3 linked regions of the Sus scrofa genome follow. The protein of the gene in region 1 interacts with the protein of each later gene in a pairwise test. Links are inferred from orthologs where the notes say so. Each region holds a gene or a part of one and is shown on either strand. Other genes may lie near its edges.

Region 1 (3,901 bases):
CTCAGAGGCCTCCCTTTTCAGATCCTCTCCAGGGACCAAGCCAGCCTCCCTCCACCTGCTGCAAGGCCCGGAGGGAAGGGCGCCGATGCTGCGCTGCCGGGGCCGCGGGCTCAGGCGCATCGGACCAGGCCCCCCTGGGCCTCCCGGTGTGGGGGAGCCCCGGGGGGCGACTCCCCCTCGCCTCCCACGTCCCGCAGTCTTCCTGGCTCTTCGGGGGCCCCTCCCGCTGGGAACAATGAGCCGGTCTCCCCGTCCCCTCGGTCCGTGTTCCCCTGGCTCTGCCCCTGCTGATGGCCCGAGGGCAGGGCCGGGTCCTGCGGACGCCTGTTTTGAGTCGGCAGGTGCCACACAAGCCCGCTCTGCCACTCCACCCTCACTTACACACGAGCCCACGGCGGCGGGAGGGGCAGCCCTGGACCCGAGAGCCCTGCTGGCCGGCGCCCCGTGGCCCACCGTGCCTGCTGAGTGGCGCCGGCGGACAGCAGACGGCGGACGTGGGAAGGAGGGTGCGGCTCCGTTGGGAGAGCGGACGGCGTGGGTCCCACCGCAGCCCCCCGGCCGGCGCCCTCCTCCCTGGGCAGAGCAGGCGGGGCTCCGCCGGGGACCCCTGGGGATCGGCTACGCAGCCAGGCGGTGACAGTGTGATCACCTTGTGTGCCACTGACAAGATTCGATGAATATGAATGCACTGCCTAATTAAACTACAATTAATCTCTCTGGCCCAGGCTGGGTAAGGAGGGGGCCCTGGGGGAGGCTTCTGCCATCCAGGGCCACGGCCCCGAGAGGGTTGTCAGCGATTCCTGTCAACGGCCCAGGAACACCTGGGCACAAGGTCCCCCTGCCAGTTGGAGCCCGGTCACCTGAGGCTGGGCAGCGGCCCCACAACACCCCCCCTCCCGACTCCCAGCCAAGCCCGGTGCCCAGGAGGGCACGTGGCAGGTACAGCTTCTCCCATCACGTCGCAAACTTGGGCTTGCCGCATGCGACAGCGGCCACGACTATCCAGCCTCCAGGGCCGCTGCCAAGGAGCGAGGAGCGGAAGCTGTGCCAGTCCTGGCCTTTGACAAGTGACCTACTCCTGCTGCCGGGCGGGTGCCATCATCCGCCACGCGAGAGGCCCCCTCACCCTGAGCTCTGGGCGCCCTGTTCTCAAGACGGCTCCTTGGGTTCTCCGAACTTTTCCTCCTGTTTCCACCTCACTGCATTTTCGTCCCACTTTCAGATAAACTTGCTCCACTTTATAAGTCTTCTGTTTAGACTTCCGTTTAACTCTTGGGTTTTTCTTTATTTTTGGCTACACCTGAGGCATATGGACGTTCCTGGGCCAGGGATGGAAGGTGAGCTGCAGCTGCGACCTGGGCCACAGCCATGGCCAAGCCGGACCCTAAACCCACTGCACTGGGCCGGGATCGAACCCACAGCTCCGCAGTGACCCGAGCCGTGCAGCCGGATTCTTAACTCACTCTGCCACAGAGAGAACCCCTCACTCTTAGATGTTTTTAACTTTCAGTAGCTCATTAGTTTTCATTCTGAAACCTTTTAAAGTCCGTTGTTCATGTTCTGGCCAATGTCTCTCCTTGTCTCTCCGAAGGCACAATTTCTTGGGGTTTTCTTCACTCTGAAGGCCTATTCCCTCCAGTTGCATCTTTTCACTTGTTTGCTCTGTGCTGTTTTTCAGATGCTGGACAATCTTAGCGACAGGTAGCAGTGGCCTGTGAGCAGAGGCGGGGCCACCGTGGAGGGAAGAGCCAACTGCCTCCGGGGCCTCTAGGGCCAGTGCCTGTGGGCCTCCCGGGGCTGCACAGGGTTCCAAGGGCCACATGGCCGCCAGGTGAGAGGAGAGGGAGGGCAGGATGGGTGGGGCTCTGGTGCCCACCTGCCTCCCCCTCTACCCTGTTCATGGCCCTGGCCACGCTGTCTGCAGAGCAGCAGGTCATAGATGGGGGCAGGGGGGCCCATCTGAGCCAGGAGCTCTGAGCTCGCAGGTCTCAGAGCCCACACGTCCCGGGAGGCTGCTGCCAGCCTGCCCCCCGCTGCCCCCGGGAACCGCTGCTCTGAGAGCACAAACGGCTGTGTCCAGACGGCCACTCTGTACTGTCATGGGAGAGGCTGTGGTCCACGTGGGCACAGGACTGGGTGAGGAGACCTGCCTGCCTCTTTGCAACCCTGTACAGCAAGCGTCCTCCTGGAGAACGGCCGGGTGCAGCTTTGGGCAAGACCCTGCTGCTTCGAGGGTGCACCCCTGGGACGGAAACTCAGATCTGGCTGACGTGGAGCCCTGGACCTCTGAGACCGTGTGTGCCTGGCGCCGAGCAAGGCTGCCAACCAGGGACACGGGGCCTCGGGCATTTAGAGAAAGGCTGGGTGCACGTGGGGACAGCAAGAGCTGCAGCTAAGACCCCAGCGAAGGAGCCAGGCACAGACCCCGCACCAGGCGGGCTCATCACAGGCCAGGGAGGAGGACGTGACGCCGCACACACTTCCCAGCGCCCACCCTGCAGGCACACGGGGCGAGACTGCAAACGCGCAGGAGGAAGCCGGAGGCGGCTTCCCGGGAGGAAAAGCCCCTGAGCAACGCCCGAGGCGGACGCTGCCTACGCCCTTGCAGACCCGAGAGCCCCGCGCTCCAGAGGGCGGGGTGCCCTCTCCCCAGGCCGCCCGAGGCCCTGAGCGGACGGCAGCGCTGGGCACCCTCCAACAACTGCAGAGGGAGGCCGCAGGTGCCCCCTGGCCTCCGGCCTTCCCCATGGGAGTGGGGTGGTGACCCCTGGGAAGGGTCCTCAAGGGATGCCCTCTGTCCCTGGAGCTGCTGGACCTGCCTCTGCACCGCAGCAGGGACGTGCCCAGGGCGGCGCCTGGTGACCGAGGCACGCAGTGGACGGGCTTGGTGGTCATGGAGCTGCCCGGGAACAACGAGCGGTGACTCCAGAGGCTGCAGCCTGGTCTGGGGCTTCAGGGCACACGAGACCGCACGCTGGAAACGGCTGCTTCTTGCCGTGCGGGCCCTGCTGCAGAGGGCTTGCGGGCTCCCTGAAAGGCCCGCGGGTGGGGAGACACAGTCCCTGTCCCCCCAGCGCATTGGGCTTCCTCGGGATGAGCGGACACACCTGCCGCAGCGGTCGGGGACTCAGCCTCTGGCGCCTGCCCGATTCCTGCTGCTCTGCAGGCCCACCCACCTGCCTGGACGGAGGCTCCACCTCCTGCACAGCCCAGGGTTGCCCACCGACAGACAGACGGATGGGGAGGGGGCCTACCTGCCACCTCCTTGGACGAGGGCAGCCCCGCGGCGGCCTCCAGGTCGGCGGGGACGGGGCCCCCGGCCTCCAGGGCACGGACCAGCTCCCGCAGGTGCTTGCACTCCTCCTGCAGCTGCTGCCAGTCCTCTCGGAACCGCTGTCTCGCCACGCTGGCCGGGTTCAGGCTCAGGTGCAGCACCTTGGTTCTGCTCTGGTCAAAGTCACCCTGCGGGACCACAGGCGGGAGGTCAGAGCCCCAGGCAGAGCGCGAGCGAAGGCAGAGCGGAGCCGCGTGCAGCCCAGCCACCCCCCCGGTCTCACTGCCGCGTCCCGAAAAAACCCACCCAACCCACCTGCGGAACATCGGAGACTCTCAACACAGGAGCGCCCGTCGCTGAGTCTCGGTACCACTCGTACAGTGACCGGGACGGCTGGCCCTTAGTAGGGCGACGCTTTCAAACGCCATCGGCAAGCGTCCTACTGACCTTGGGCTCTCGCCAGCTTTTAACTCAGCAGACCTCCTGTCTCTTGTCTTTAAGACTGAAACCCAAGACCTGCTTTATAAGATTTTTTTTTTAAGGCTGCATTTGTGGCATATGGAAGTTCCCAGGCTAGGGGTTGAATTGGAGCTGTAGCCACTGGCCTACACCACAGCCACAGCCACG
Region 2 (4,555 bases), about 76 Mb from region 1:
CAAGGATGTGTAATTAAAAAGGCTTTCTTAAGCCAAACAGAAATACTGATTCCGTACAGTAAAACCTTTTTCTTCCTCTTTTAAGTAACTCACCATAGAGTTTAATCGCTGGTTCTATGCTATGTATTTACTAAAAGCATTTGTATTCATCACACAAAGAAAAACTCCATATGTGATATTAGTCACATTTAATTCATATTATTACTAAAATTATATCACCAAGAAGGGCTGATTTCATTTCAGTTTTGTTGTTGGAGCATTATTTCTCTTGGCAGAAGCTCTAGCTACTCATACTCATGAGCTGTGCATTAAAATTCACCAATAAGAAACTGTCACATGGAGTTCTCTTATAGCACAGCAGGTTAAGGATCCAGTGTTGATGGAACTTTTAAATGAGTGTCATTATTATGATGTGTATTAAGAAGGTGTAATGCAGACACTTCATTACCAGGTCTGACATGTCAGTAAATTTTTTCCTAACATGTTACTGATTTGCATCTCTTACTTGGCCTTGTCCTCTATAGAGGAAGGTGCTGCTACTGCTGCTTGATTGGGATGGAAGTTTGGGCTGCACTTCCTGCATGATAGAGGGGACCAAATCTATACTCATCGAGGCCCAAAGGAGGGAATGTGTCTGCCACACAGTCTGTGACAAAGAAATACACTGAGACCACTTAACCCAAAGTGGGAAACGAAGACAGGGCCAGTCCTCATTAGCAAAAGGAAGAAGAGAAAATAAAATGATAATCACTATATTCTTAAAAAGATGTAACTGATATGGTTTGGTGCTACTTAAAAGGTTAAGAAAAAATGAGAAAAACTCTAAATACTTAAAAATATTTATTAATCAAACAGGTATTTCAGGGCAGGTATCTATTATATGCCTAGTGCTATGATGAATAGTACATAGAAAAGTATTTATTCTTAGCAATCAAGACATGAAAATATGGGTTTATTTACATGTATTGGCTAAATAGGGCCAAGGTCTACTATTAATTTTTAATTTGTATTGGCAACCAGCACTCTATTGATTGCTTTTCTTTTTTTCATTATCAGGTGACAAATATCCTGGACACACAAAAAATTCTGGCTGTTTAAAGCATTCTTGGCAGACCCTAGATGAGAACATCACCATCCTGCCAAAGGCTGGAGCTGAAGCACTCGAGGTACTCACCCTGAATGGCTGGTCTGGGATGAATGGGAAGTAGGGGATGGCTGACTGCTCTTCACCTCTTTCCCCAGATATACAAGAATTTCTGAGCAGCTGTCGGTCTGTGAACACAGCTTTAAGTTCAATTGCCACATCGGCGGGAGGATCTTCCGAGTCACCACAGGTCAAGCTGATGGCAAAGCTGGAAAGAAAATCATCTCATTTATTCATGGTTGAATAGAAAGACATTTAACAAAGACCTAGGCTCCCAATCCTTTCTTCTTCTCTGGATTTGTCAGCTTTTAATGGGCCACTACTCTTCACATGGGAGGTTAGACTATGGAGCAGTAGGATTACAACAAACTGGTTTATTTTGTTACCTAGCAGAGGCCCTGGTGAAAACTTCCCTGAAGATGAAAATAATTAACTGTAGACATTTCAGATACCCCAAACCCACACATCTGTGTCTTAATCCATTTCAAAGTCTCAAATTGAGCCCAATAACCTGACCAGGGGAAATACTATCTTGTAAAGTTTGGTTCTCATTTATATTGATAGTTCTTACTCCAAACACCATCCTTTAAAAAATGTAAAAAAAAAAAAAAAAAAAAATCCTTCGGGCTCTCTAAGGGTCAAAGAGAAAATGATGTGGGCCTATATTTATAATCTCTGATATAAATAGCTGTCTAGAGAAATGATGGCTGGGATTCATACACATTCTTTTCATGGGAACATAGCACTTTCTTGGCACTTCCAACTAGCAACACTGGCCGCAAGGGGAAGAAGAGGAGACAGAGTAAACCACAACAGGAATGGGTAAGACCTGGTGACCCTCTGATAGATCTAGGTGACAAGAACTTGTCTTACCTCTCCGGGTTGAGGTCTACGATGCCCATCACTAACACCTTCTTGCCTGGTCTCATGCCACCTTTAATGTGCCCACAAAATGGCACGATCTGCAAAGGAGAAAGTTTACAGCCTGTTAGGGAAGAGCCAAGCCCTCAGATTCTGAGGACCTGACCCATTAGAAAACGCAGTTAGAAAGAAGAGGGTACAGGCAGGCAGACACAGAGCGCAGAACAAAATCATTTACCAATCGTGGGAAGTACACGTCGGCTTGAACTGGAGAGCCCAAGGAGTTGTTTAAATGCCCATCGTCTAGTTTCTAAAAATAGAAGCAAACAGATTGGCTTTCTAAAGGCCTTTGGGGAGGGGGTTGGGGGGCGGGGAAGAACCTACACAAATCCGGCGGAATCCAGCAGCCCTGCACAGAAAGCAGGCAGTATCTGCAGATGCTGCCACCTCACAGTCCACTGAAAAACCGCATAACCCCCCAGAACAAAACCCGTCCTTTCCACCAGGTAGCTAAGCCTCTGACGATCCCCAGACCCTTCCAATCTAGATCAAAATCAAGGTCGAGGCCCACTGGGGAGCCAGTGCCCGGCGCCGGAACAAGGCAGGTCCCTCTCCAACAGCAAACGCCCCTAGAAAAGCGGTCGCCCAGGCCTGTCCTCCGGGACGTGGCTGGAGTGCAGTGGCCGCGCTCAACTTCTCTCGCGAGCCCTCGGCGCGGACCCATTTCCAAGGGGGAATCCCCGGGACGTCGGCGGCGGACGCGGGGCGCACGTCCCGGACACAATCACACAGGCGCACACTCACACGTGCAACGTGCACACACCTGGCCGGCGGCTGCACGGCGCAAAGGGGTATGGCGGTCACCCCTATCCCGCGGGCCGCCCCCACACATCTCCCCTCAGCCAGGGCCCTTCGACCGGGCTACCCCTCCGGCCGCACACCGCGCACAGCCCGCTCCCGCTACCAGGTACTGGGGCGCCTTTCCACGCGGGGGGCGCGGGGCAGGGCCTCGGCTCGGCGGGAGCCGGCGGCCTGGCCGTGCGGGCCGCTGGAGGGGGGCGCACTCACCACCACAGCATCGCTGTCGGCCACCGACCCCGCCATCTTCTCGCGCAGCGCGGCGGGGAGCACGGCTGGCGGCCCGGCGGCAGGGGACGTGGGACGCAGCGCGCGGGCGGGGATCCCGGGGCGGTCCTGCACCGGGCGGGAACGCGGGTCCGAGGCTGGCTCAGGCGCGCGCACACACGCGGGCACGCGCGCGCGCGCACCAGGGGCCCCGGCGCCGACCCGGCCGGTGGGGCCGGGGAGAAGGGGAGGAGGCGGGGGAGGTGCCGCGGGCCGGCAGGTCTGAGGTGGCCGCAGCCGCCGGCGTCCGGACAGCGCTGCCGAGTCGAGGCTGCTGGCTTCTTCAGGGTGCTGCTGCCGCCGGTTGAGGAAAAAGGTGGCGAGGGCCGCGCCTTGCCGGCCCTGGGCAGCATTTAAAGGCCGCCGAGGCCCGGCTTGGGAACCGGGAACAGGGCGGGGACCCGGCTGGGCTGCTGCGGCTTGCTCAGCTTGCCCTACCCCTCGGCCATTGGACAGTGGCAGGAGGCTGGGGCGGGAGGGACGGGCCTGTCGGGCTCGGGGCGTGAGTACGGGCGGCCGCCCGGTCGGCCCTCTCCCTCGGCAGGGTGGGTGGGGCTGGGGCACGGGGAAGTGAAGGCCTGAGCCTGCCAGGTGACAGGTGCTTGTGACATCCCGCCCCTCCGCTCCATCCTTCTCCGGCCACGTCTCGGAGCAGGTGGGACTGTGGAGACCGAGGTCAGCAGAAGATTGGGAGTGCAGATGGTATTCCAGAGCTCAAGATTTCTTTCAGAGAATTCCCACAAAGTACGAGGAAAGATTCATTGGGCTTTCTGGGGTAGAAAGATAATGAAAGGTCTCTGAGCTTTGCAAAAATAAATATTTGACCTAAAAGCAAGAGGTAGAGAGAATTCACAAGTGGGACTTTTATATTACAGAAGATTAGGTACAGAAGACTCCACCCCCCGCCCCGCCCCCATGGAAGAATGGGCAAGTCTGGGGCTACCTGGAAGCTCTCTCATGCAGGGGTCTGGCTAGTCTTAACAAGTTGAATCCGTCAGAGTGACTGCCCTCAGAAAGCCTCCATTAGACCGTTTTGTTGTTGTTGTTTTCTTGGTTTTATTAACAAGTCACCTGCTCAGTATAGGGAGTAAATTTGTCACTGAAAATCTCCTGATATACTTTGTGGAGCACTTCTCAGGGGGTACACCCCTCTTTATTCCAAGGCACAAATTCCTTTATGGTTTCCAAATTAGGATGATTATGTAACTACTCAGATAAAGCTGTATCAACATACCCTTTATTAGATGACATCTTGGCTTAAACATTCCACTGTGTGAATCACTCGGGTGATTTATACTAATAAGCAGGGAGCATGTGTGACCTTACTGCAATTCCAGAGGGGCCCTCAGAGGCTCCCTTCTTGCCACGTTGCTGAATGTTTGGCCTAGGACATCACTGAGGCTTTTGTGTCTTAGCTTTCCTTTT
Region 3 (4,442 bases), on another chromosome or scaffold:
TGCCCTATGGCTACCTTATTATCTTCTCCCTAGGAAAGGAAGCATTTTGATATTTTTTCAAGAGCCAATAACAAGCTGGTTTAATTTCACCCACAAGTTAACTAAGCTGGTTTAAATTTTGCCCACCAGTTAGGATTCTAGTAATGACCTTACAAAGCCCCAACACTGGGAGAAAGTTCTCAATAGCTTCTGTATCACAAAAGCACCAAATGTAAGACTTTAGGGCACTGCATTTAAGAGTTACAGTCATATCAAACTTTTTTTTCTATTCTCTAGATGTCCGTGAGCAGAAACAACTAACTGCCTTCCCATCAGATTTACTCCTTCTGAATAGCACGGTTTTGAAGCTGATAAAATTATAATACAAATTTCTATTTGCTCTATTTTTACAGTCCTTTTCTTTCCAGCTCAAAATTGCTCCTTTGATGGCTTACTTGAGTCATCCATTGTTCCTTAATGGAGATTTGCTCAATTGTATTTCTCCCAGCCTAAGCCCAATTTTAGAACACAGATGAAATAATTTTAGAACGAATCCTTCAAAGCCCTTCAGGAACTTTCACACTCCTCAAATGAAAAATTACTGATAAAATCAAACTTTTCATAGTGTCTAATATATATACCATGCAATTTCTGTACTTCAAGACTTTGCTCATGTGTCCCTTCCCTCCCCACCACAGCAGTTATAAAATCCTTTCTACACTGAATGTGTTTTGACTTTCAATTAGCCTATGTTTTTTACACAGCCCAGCAAGTAAATTGGGATTGTTTCTGATATTACTGTAAAAGCCCTTGAAGACTTCCTAAATAAAATTCAAGTATTTGGAAGACATAAGCCTTTTAACAATGCTCCATACTCCTTAGAGCTAAACGAGGTAAATACAGCAAGTGCTTAATAATTACTTATGGACTTTCATATACAACCATTCCAGCCAAGAATATGTTTTAATAGGCAGTCTCTAGAAAGGAAAGAACTGAAACGCCTAAGAGTGTTTGGATTTCAGGCATTGTTCTAAGCCGTTTAGGGGATTTTTTTTTCCTGCCACTGGTCTAAATTAGCACCACTTGCCCTGACGTAACCCAAAAATATCGCACTACAAACCGCTCGGTCTCATCAAGTGAGAAAATCAGGTGCTATTAGCAGGATTTCTATTTCGATTTAACTCTAATTCTTAGCTTTCAACAATCTGAACACACTGTCCTTCTCTAACTCCTCGGTTTCTTCTTCATCACTTTGCCATTTTCCTCGGCTTCAAACGAACCTAATCAGCGAAACCTTTAATTCGGGTCTTCCGCGGACCTCAGAGTCTTAACCGCAAAGTCCAGAGAGCCATTTCCCGCCAGAAGTGGCGTCCAAATACCGCGAGACTAAGGTCGACAGGGAGTTTATGAGCATGCGCAGTAACAGACTCCACGGACTTTGGCTCCCTGACGTCCTCCACAATCCCACAATCCTCTAGTCGTACATTTCCTGTTTTTCTAGCTCAGCCGTAAGTGGTGTTTCTATCAGTACGCAGCAGTGTCCAGTGGCCTCTGGTGCGGAGGATTTTCTGTTCGTTGACGTTGTACCTGTTCACAGTTTGGAATCAGTCAAGTTTTGGAATCACCGCCGCTGCCATCAAAATGTCGGTCCCAAGCGCACTCATGAAACAACCGCCTATTCAGTCTACGGCTGGGGCCGTCCCGGTTCGCAATGAGAAAGGTACTGTGTTGAGCTGTTTTCCAGTCGGATCTTACTTGTTTCCCTAGCATATTCCAAACCGACCCCGGGCCCACCACCTCAGCCCCAGCGATCCTTAAGACCTTGCCCCCTATTTCTTTCGCCATCAAACTCGCATCCAATCGCGTTGCCTAGAAGGGAAAAAAACACCCACACTATTTCCACCTCATCTTGTTCCTAGAGCCTGTCGGTTCACTCCTACAGCAAGCATCCTCTTCCCTTGGCCTCCACCAATAAACTAGAGTAATAAATAAAGTGAACGCTTGCTGTTTGGAAGGCGTTGTGCGGGATACAATCCCAGTTTTGTTATCCATAATCTGTTTATGCTTTTATAACTCTTACTGTAATTATGTGTCCATCTCTCTCTACTGCATCATAAACTCATAGATTCCTCAAGGCAGGAACCCTCTCTTATTAAACTTTTTAATCCCTTTCAACCAACGCAGTGACTGTATTTGTTAAATTTAATACAGAGACAGTACCCCTAACCTTAAGGAACTCATAGTAGACGTGATTCATGCAAAAAGAGACCTATTCTAAGCAAGTGTGCAGTCTTTCGCACCCCTAATACTGTTACATAGGTGATGTAAACCAAGCGCTTTGAATAATCTCTTCAGACTGGGGTACTCAAGTTGATCTTTAAAGGATAGGTTTGATTCCAGTGAGTGCAGATGGATGAAGCAACACTGTACCTGTTTAGGGAGTCAGACTGAAAAGTCAAGAGTTTTTTCAGTAAGATATTTGGAAAATAATATCACTTCTTTCCTGTTTTTTAAATATAAGGTACTTATCCTTGTGTAACCTGCCTTTTTTTTTTTTTTTCCTTAAACTCTGTGGTTTTTTGATAAGTGCCTTTGGATACATGGAGATCTTATTAATTTAACTGCTTATGAGGTCTATTATATGGAGTTTGTTCCCTGCTGAGGGACAATTAGCTGTTTTGTTACTTTTTTTCCTCTTACACACAGCGCTGCAGTTATCATTCTTTAGTGCACTGCCTTAAGAATTTTAGGGTAGACTCCTAGAAGTTCTTCATCAATTAACTACCTATTGCCATTTGCTCTCCACAGTGGATTGTAAGAGCATTGAAAGTTTTTATTTCCTGTTATATTACCCACAATCTTGGTTGTATGAGATTTTTTTTATTTGCCCGATCTAATGGGTGTGAAACAATAGCACGTTATTTTAATTTGCAATTTCCTGAGTCCAGGATTACTAGGCATCTTGTTTGTGTGTTTATCATCTCTCTAGGTGTTGTCTTCTATGAATTATCTCTTTCAATTACCCATTTTCTATTTAGTTTGTTCTGACACATCCCAAATCTTTTTTTTTTTTTTTTTTTTTTTTTTTTTTTTTTGTCTTTTTGCCTTTTCTAGGGCCACTCCTGTGGCACATGGAGGTTCCCAGCTAGGGGTCCAATAGGAGCTGTAGCCGCCGGCCTATGCCACAGCCACTGCAACTAGGGATCTGAGCCGCGTCTGCGACCTACACCACAGCTCACGGCAATGCCGGATCCTTAACCTACTGAGCAAGGCCAGGGATCGAACCTGAAACCTCATGGTTCCGAGTCAGATTCGTTAGCCACTGTGCCACAATGGGAACTCCCCCAAACTTTAATATCTATTTCCCAGAGTTTTTTGGCTTGTCTTTTAATTATGGAGTCTTCTGTCACACAGGTGTTTTTAGTTTTATTGTTGACAGATTTAACAATTTTGTCTTTTATGTTTTGTGGTGTTTAGTATACTGTTTAAGAAATCCTTGGAGTTTCCTGGTGGCTCAGTAGGTTAAGGATCCAGTATTATCTTGGCTGTGGCTCTGATCCCAGCTGTGGCCCAGTTTCAGTCCCTGGCCCAGGAACGTCCCAATTTAAAAAAAAAAAAAAAAAAAAAAAAAAGTCTTTTGAGTTCCCCTTCCCAATTTAAAAAAAAAAAAAAAAGTCTTTTGAGTAACTTACCCAACCAGAATCCATGAGGACTCGGGTTTGATCCCTGACCCCGCTCAGTGGGTTAAGGATCTGTCATTGCTGTGAGCTGTGGTGTTGATCCCAGATGCAGCTCAGATCCCGTGTTGCTGTGACTGTGGTGTAGCCAGCAGCTGCAGCTCTGATTCAACCCCTGGCCTGGAAACCTCCACATTTCCTTGAGTGCCGCCCTAAAAAGACCAAAAAAAAAAAAAGATTTTTGGTTATCTAAGTGTTTGTATATTCTGAATAGGAAGGATTACACAGTTGTCTAAGACAGACTATAAGTTAAGGAGCTTACAGTCCAGCAGGGATGTAAATGTTTAAGATGTGTTTTTCGTGCATGAGTATTTAGCTTATCTGGAATTGTGTGTGTGTGTGGCATCCATTATAGATCTAATTTTAGTATTTACCTCAGGGCTAGCCAGTTGCCCCAACTACTCCATTGTTTTGCCGTACCCACTGCAAGTTATGCTTATTTGCCATATGTATAACTTCTTTGGTGAGGTATCTGTTAAGGTCATTTTTTTGGTTGGTTGGTTGGTTTGGTTTTTTTGCCGTCCACTGATTTTTAATGTCACTTCTGCAGTATACCAAGTTCTCATTATAGGTTTGTTTCTCTGCTCTCTGTGTGTTCACTTGGTCCCTTTGTATCCCTCAATGATATACTGTTTTAATAACTATAAATTTGAATAAGTCTTGTGATCTAATGCAAACTCTCCCCGACCTCACCCTAGTCTTTTTTTTTTTTTCCCATCAAGACTT

The links. The genes of interacting proteins can lie anywhere in the genome.
Region 2: the proteins of MAD1L1 (region 1) and LGALSL interact in binary tests that used the Homo sapiens proteins (3 or more experiments, as listed by UniProt). The two-hybrid records come from large-scale screens. The link is inferred for Sus scrofa from reciprocal best matches to the Homo sapiens genes MAD1L1 and LGALSL.
Region 3: the proteins of MAD1L1 (region 1) and MFAP1 interact in binary tests that used the Homo sapiens proteins (3 or more experiments, as listed by UniProt). The two-hybrid records come from large-scale screens. The link is inferred for Sus scrofa from reciprocal best matches to the Homo sapiens genes MAD1L1 and MFAP1.

Annotation. Positions count from the first base shown.
Region 1 is NC_010445.4:1,297,330-1,301,230, forward strand, and holds part of MAD1L1 (mitotic spindle assembly checkpoint protein MAD1), read right to left. Parts: intron 3,463-3,901; coding exon 3,255-3,462; intron 1-3,254. UniProt on the Homo sapiens protein: Component of the spindle-assembly checkpoint that prevents the onset of anaphase until all chromosomes are properly aligned at the metaphase plate.
Region 2 is NC_010445.4:77,475,837-77,480,391, forward strand, and holds the start of LGALSL (galectin-related protein), read right to left. Parts: upstream 3,024-4,555; 5' UTR 2,898-3,023; coding exon 2,829-2,897; intron 2,316-2,828; coding exon 2,244-2,315; intron 2,107-2,243; coding exon 2,018-2,106; intron 1,353-2,017; coding exon 1,175-1,352; intron 1-1,174. UniProt on the Homo sapiens protein: Does not bind lactose, and may not bind carbohydrates.
Region 3 is NC_010443.5:127,739,988-127,744,429, forward strand, and holds the start of MFAP1 (microfibrillar-associated protein 1), read left to right. Parts: upstream 1-1,419; 5' UTR 1,420-1,620; coding exon 1,621-1,699; intron 1,700-4,442. UniProt on the Homo sapiens protein: Involved in pre-mRNA splicing as a component of the spliceosome.